Linked DNA regions of Nothobranchius furzeri. The protein of the gene in region 1 purifies or fractionates together with the protein of each later gene. This does not show direct contact. Links are inferred from orthologs where the notes say so. Each region holds a gene or a part of one and is shown in the gene's direction. Other genes may lie near its edges. The genes, in order: ppp4r1l and ppp2cab.

Region 1 (3,033 bases):
GGAGCACCAGGAAAGTAGTTCAGATTCTAAACCCAGCCCCGGAAAAGCTACCAGCGATCAAATCCAAAAGGTCTTGGACTGTTTGACGCCTCACATTGCTGATCCCGATGTACAAGGTGGGTAGATAGGAATGGAGATTTTACTGGTGTGTAGATTTAACTGAGTGTGTATTTCACCTCCAGTTCAAGTCCAAGTCTTGTCAGCAGCTCTGAAGGCGGCCCAGCTCGACAGCCCGTCTGACGGCAGCCCGACAGAAACCAGCCCTACCGAGGAGCCGCCTGAAGACAGCCCTGAGGGCCTATCAGGGGACGGCATTTCTATTGATCTACAGCCGGAGATGGAGGACGCTAGCACAGACCAAGAAGAAACAATGGAAATTTCTCCAGCTGCAGAAACGTGTCCGGTCCAGGAGCAAGAAAATGAAGAGACTCAAACTGAACCTCTGGAGAAGCAGGAGGAGTCTCCACCCAACTCTCCTGTTCTGGGGCCTCAGATACTACGGGTACATATCCATAAAAACATGGCCATGAAATGATCGTGGAGACGTGCGCAGCCTCACTAACTATGGCAGGAGCACATGCACATCTACGGTTATCACTCTTAGGGAAACTGGTAAAGGTGTAGAAACTATTATACACCACAGACGCATCCATTTGTGCACAGTTGCATAATATATTTAATCAAATGCAATATAAAGCAGAGAACAACTTCAACAACAGCAGAGGATGTTCTGGCCCCAAACCATGATTGTCAGCTGTTTTAGGTTTCCAAGGGCGACCCTGTTTTAACGGCTCAGAGCTGCATCGCAGTGTTTATTATTTTTTCTGTTGATTAGATTTTTCATGCAATAGTTTGGAGTCTGTGGCAGCTTTGTTAAACCGTTTGTTAAAACTATTTTAGTTGTTTTCATGGATGATTTGAGATATTTGTGGTTTTCGCTTGTACTTTCCTGCTCTTTTACGTTTTTGTGGGTTCTCATTTTCCTCAGGAGTCTAGCTTAATTGAAAATGTGGAGGAGGAGGAAAAGGACGCCTGTCTTCACAGCCCAACGTCAGAGGATAAGCCCAAAATCCAGGTCGGTCATGATAAACGAATCCCACGATCATTATGGATTCCTCGTGTTTAATCATCTAACTTGGACTTCCTGTCTGCAGAATGTCATCCCTCAGCAGCTGTTGGATCAGTACCTCTCTATGACGGACCCCGCCCGGGCCCAGACGGTGGACACGGAGATAGCCAAACACTGTGCCTTCAGCCTTCCGGGTGTGGCGCTCACTCTGGGCCGACAGAATTGGCACTGCCTAAAGGACACATATGAAACCCTCGCCACGGACGTGCAGGTAGGTATCAGGAAATCACAAGTGTAATGATGTCTGGTGTTTGGGCCTTTGTAGCTTTGAAGCTCATCAGAAAACAGGATCTGTAGTGGTTCATGCTTAAGGTCACCACAGACACTCCACTTTGTGTTGGATTATTAGCACTGGCTTTATGGTTTTAATTCCCCACATTTTCCCTCTCAGTGGAAGGTGCGGCGAACGTTGGCTTTCTCCATCCATGAGCTGGCGGTTATCCTGGGGGACCAGCTGACTGCAGCTGATCTGGTTCCCATCTTCAACGGCTTCCTCAAAGACCTAGATGAGGTTCGCATCGGCGTGCTCAAGCACCTGTACGACTTCCTGAAGGTAAGATCTCCACTGCGCCATAACGAGAGCAAACCTGCCAACCTGTACGCATTTTGCGTCGCCAGTATGCAATTTGGCATCTATTTACGCTGGTACGACTCACCCATTTAAACTTCGCACAAAGCTGCGGATACGTGAGTTGAGTTCTGTGGCAAATATGTACGTGTGGTACTCGTGTCTGACAACACGACTCAGTGGCGTGGTGAAGAAGTTTAAGCCAATCATCGTAGAAAAGCAGAGTAAGCCTATCCTGCCTAACCAGTAGCCTAAAACCCCCCTCCTCCCTGCCTCGTTCCTCCTCTCTCCCACTGGTTCGCCACTCGCTGCTGTTCTGGTAAGGTAAAGTGTGTGTGTGCGTGTGTGTGTGTGTGTGAAATTTTCCATCCAGTGAATGGGGAGATTACAGCGTGAAAAGCAATGGAGTTGTAAAAGTCTGCGAAAAACGCCGCACAGGTGGTACTCAAAAAATGTTTGACAAGGTTGGCAGGTCTGCGAGAGAGGAGGTTGTTTGCTGTTGATAACGGAGCAGGTTTGTGTCGCAGCTGCTGCACGCAGACAAAAGGAGAGAGTATCTGTACCAGCTGCAGGAGTTCATGGTGACGGACAACAGTCGAAACTGGAGATTCAGATATGAGCTGGCAGAGTAAGTGTCTCTGAGGGAGAGAGGATCTTCACTAGGAGTGGACAGATATATCAGTCGGCCGGTATGTCCCCGTGCATTCACCGTGTGCCTCACTGGCTTTGTCCTCTAGGCAGCTGATCTTGATCATTGAGCTGTACAGCCACTACGATGTGTATGACTACCTCAGACAGATCGCCCTCACCCTCTGCTCTGACAAGGTCTCAGAGGTCAGGTGGATCTCCTACAAACTGGTACGTTTTACTGCCGGCTGCGCAAACTGACCTGTGGAGGAAAAATGCAAGCAGCTTGTGAACTTTTGCCCAACAGAATTAGGTTCTAAATACTGGTGTTTGTTTTTAATGAAACCGTGTAAATGAACACTGTGTAGATGGAGCGAGTGTGTCATCACTTCCTCTGCTCTCAGGTGGTGGAGATCCTCCAGAAACTTTATGCATGTGGTGCTGACGACCTTGGCCTGAATTTCATCAACGAGCTCACCGTCAGGTTTTGCCACTGTCCCAAGTGGGTGGGGAGGCAGGCCTTTGCTTTCATCTGCCAGGTCTGTGGATCTAATGGGAGAAGTGGGGAAGCACCATTTTCTCTGACTGATCTGACAAATGTTCTCCTGTGGTTACAATAGTTGACCCCCCCCCCCCTCCACTAGTTGTCTGAGTTTGATAGTTTTGTGGTTCTCCCTGCAGGCCGTGGTTGAGGAGGACTGCATGCCCA
Region 2 (3,500 bases), on another chromosome or scaffold:
TAAAATGTAACCCAAATAAGCTCGAGGGGAGTGATCGATGGAGTTGTGCCATTGCGACCACCAGCAGCTTCAGCTGCACCCAGGGGTCCAGTTCGACAGGGATTTCTTAGTTTAGCAGCGATTATAAAATTTACACAGAAACGAGCTTCGAAAACATCCCCAAAGTCCTTATTTTTTGAGTACATGTATCGTTTCTGCTCTTTTTGAACATCACCTGATTTCTCCGTAAGCTGAAACGACCCGAGGGTTTCCAGCAGGTGTTGATGGACGAGTTTGGCTCAGAACCTGATACGTTGGACTTAATTAAAGCTCGTCTTCATGACTACGGCAGCGTCAAAGATCCCTTTCTAATGTTCCATTTCGTGCTGACGGCATCATGAGCCATGACACCGACGTGAACTCGTAGACGTAGATATGTCTACGGTTTGACTAGGATGAGGAACCCAGACAGATCCACTTTATCTCCTGTCGCCTCATCCATTCAAAGATGGGTCCTGTGTGTTTGTGTTCCACTTTCATCCAGACACCTAGAATATTCTTCTCTGGCTTAGTGCCTCTGTTTGCTTTAGAGATTTGTGGCTCAGTGTGGCCCCCGAAGCCTCCTGCCGCACGCCGGTCGGGACACGTGGAGTTTGGATGCAATGTAGGTCAACGTTGTGCAACGCTGCAGCGCCATCCTGGCCCGTCTGGGTTTCTATCCCATCAGCTGGCCACCAGCCAAGGAACACACTCGTTCTCTGGTTTGTGAAGGGATCCACGGTCACACAGCTCACAAAAATACTCAGCAAACGGCCAAATTCCGGGTGATTTACCATGAAGGTAAAACAATCGGAAACATAAAAGCAGTCACAGCTGGAGGTTACCAATCAAGCCAACTGGTGGTAAATCCTGTCTTATTTTAATGGTGACTTCCTCTGGCTCTGGCTGTAGGCCACATGCTGAGTCATGCTCTGCAGCAGCCAGTCAGGCCCCTCTGATGATTTATGGGTAAAAATAAAATGCTTTAATAATCCAGAATCACATTTATTTTTCTGAATTTAACACGTTAATCTAATTTGTCTGATCCGATGTGAATTAACATCAAAGTGAACCAAAACTTTTATGCAAATCCACTAAAATTTATTCTGCACTTGCCTTTTAATCTTCGGAGGATCACATTTATGGATTTTTAGAAACGTTGCCGTGCAGCCAGAGCTGCCCGTCCGGGCACCACAGGGTCGCCCCACAGGAAGCTAGTCGCTGCATCAAAATGCTATCAGCCCCGCTCCGTGTGCAGCATCCTGATGAGACGTGATGGAGGCCGTTGTAAGCGCTAGCAGGAAGTGGGCTGTGCCTGAATGAAGACAAAAAGAAAATGGTGGCCTTTGCCTGGCTTGTGCAAGTTTTAATTCTCTAATCAACTTTCCTTCTGCAGGCAAAGGAGATCCTGACCAAAGAGTCCAACGTCCAGGAGGTGAGATGTCCAGTGACCGTGTGTGGCGACGTGCACGGCCAGTTCCACGACCTCATGGAGCTGTTCAAGATCGGTGGGAAATCGCCGGACACAAACTACCTGTTCATGGGGGACTATGTGGACCGAGGGTACTACTCTGTAGAAACCGTCACATTACTTGTAGCTCTTAAGGTGACTTTGTCAGACATTTAAAACAGTTTTTTTTTCCTCTTTGGGGTGAAAAACGCGACGTAAACAGATGTTTGTGTTTCAGGTTCGCTTCCGGGAGCGCATCACGATCCTCAGAGGGAACCACGAGAGCAGACAGATCACACAAGTCTACGGCTTCTACGACGAGTGCTTAAGGAAATACGGAAACGCAAACGTTTGGAAATACTTCACAGACTTGTTCGATTACCTCCCCCTCACTGCGCTGGTAGACTCTCAGGTGAGAGGAGCGTAATAAAAAAGACCGAACTTGACGTTTCTTTGAAAAGCATCATAATTTGTTATAATTATCGATTTTTTTTCCTCAGATTTTCTGCCTCCACGGGGGCTTATCACCGTCTATAGACACGCTGGATCACATCAGAGCTCTGGATCGTTTACAGGAAGTGCCGCACGAGGTAAAGAAAGACGTTAAATGTGGTGCAGATCAGCAACGAAACAATAAAGATAAAAACGTTTGTGACCATTCTCGTTGTCACGCAGGGTCCCATGTGCGACCTGCTGTGGTCAGACCCCGACGACCGCGGCGGCTGGGGCATCTCTCCCCGAGGAGCTGGCTACACATTTGGTCAGGACATCTCTGAAACGTTCAACCACGCCAACCGCCTCACGCTGGTGTCCCGCGCCCATCAGCTGGTCATGGAGGTTTGTCTTTGTGTCCAAAGATGATTAAAAACAAAGAAGCAGTGCCGCTAAGTTCAGATGCGTGTTAATATTACATCTGCTTACCTCAGGGCTACAACTGGTGCCATGAGAGGAACGTGGTGACCATTTTTAGTGCTCCTAACTACTGCTATCGCTGTGGAAACCAGGCAGCCATCATGGAGCTAGACGACACCCTCAAATACTCTTTGTAAGCAGGCGAATTTCATCACGAGTGGACAAAGAAATCTTAGAATAAGTTGTGATTTTTTTTCTTCCTGATGTTCCTCCTCAGCTTGCAGTTTGATCCAGCGCCTCGCAGAGGAGAGCCCCATGTAACTCGCCGCACCCCAGACTACTTCTTGTAAACCTGCAGTCTCGACCCGCGCACGGTCCGGTCCGGTCCTGTCCAGAACCACCAACCTATCTGACTTTGAACTGAAAACAACGTGATGGAGGCCTGAGAGGCTGCAGTGTTGCACGTTGTGTTTATCCAATCTAGTTAAAGCATTTCGCAAAAGCAAATGTGTCTATAAACGGACCAAAAGGTGTGTGCCATGATCACTTAAATATTTATTGTATCTGAAATGACAAAATAGAACATCCTGGATGTCTCGGCTCCTCCTCCTGTACATATGGAGCTGGGTTGACGGCACCAAAGTCCAAGACTAATTTGCTACTGCAGACCATGGTTTTTGAGATTTGAATGTGATTTGTTTGCACTTTTGTACAGTTAAAGAAATGTTAAATATGTCAAAAAGATTAATACGATTTCACGATATTGATAGTTTTTTTGTTGTTTATTTTTAAATTGCATGTAAACCTTCAGTTTTTTTTGACCTGTGTATGTTTTAGGAAAATCCCTTCTCATGCAGTCAGATGGCTTGGTTTATAGAAAAGATGGAGTGTTCATCAACTCACCTGCTTCCTTTTAGCTTCAGACTCTATAATAACCTACTAGAATAATAAAGATGACTTCTTGAATTGTGTTTTTGGTTATTCTTCATTCTTGTAAAAAGTCTAGTTATATTTGGATTTCTCTGGCCAGTTGTAATTACACTGACACAGCAAGGCGAAGACATAAAAAATACATTTATTTAAATGTGAATTTAAATTATTGTGCTCCATAATATTAGATTGTATTGAGAACAGAAGTATCAATTGCCCAAAACAAGCAAACTTAATGTTGAGAATTGTG

Evidence for each region.
Region 2: the proteins of ppp4r1l (region 1) and ppp2cab purify together in Homo sapiens (affinity purification with mass spectrometry; 3 studies listed by BioGRID and IntAct, with this or other methods). This does not show direct contact. The link is inferred for Nothobranchius furzeri from reciprocal best matches to the Homo sapiens genes PPP4R1 and PPP2CA.

The regions. Positions count from the first base shown.
Region 1 is NC_091743.1:58,789,654-58,792,686, forward strand, and holds part of ppp4r1l (serine/threonine-protein phosphatase 4 regulatory subunit 1), read left to right. Parts: coding exon 1-116; intron 117-182; coding exon 183-502; intron 503-988; coding exon 989-1,075; intron 1,076-1,154; coding exon 1,155-1,340; intron 1,341-1,520; coding exon 1,521-1,682; intron 1,683-2,224; coding exon 2,225-2,325; intron 2,326-2,434; coding exon 2,435-2,555; intron 2,556-2,728; coding exon 2,729-2,863; intron 2,864-3,005; coding exon 3,006-3,033. UniProt on the Homo sapiens protein: Regulatory subunit of serine/threonine-protein phosphatase 4. May play a role in regulation of cell division in renal glomeruli. The PPP4C-PPP4R1 PP4 complex may play a role in dephosphorylation and regulation of HDAC3.
Region 2 is NC_091750.1:60,013,395-60,016,894, reverse strand, and holds the end of ppp2cab (serine/threonine-protein phosphatase 2A catalytic subunit alpha isoform), read left to right. Parts: intron 1-1,414; coding exon 1,415-1,624; intron 1,625-1,706; coding exon 1,707-1,880; intron 1,881-1,968; coding exon 1,969-2,058; intron 2,059-2,143; coding exon 2,144-2,305; intron 2,306-2,394; coding exon 2,395-2,513; intron 2,514-2,597; coding exon 2,598-2,670; 3' UTR 2,671-2,897; downstream 2,898-3,500. UniProt on the Homo sapiens protein: Catalytic subunit of protein phosphatase 2A (PP2A), a serine/threonine phosphatase involved in the regulation of a wide variety of enzymes, signal transduction pathways, and cellular events.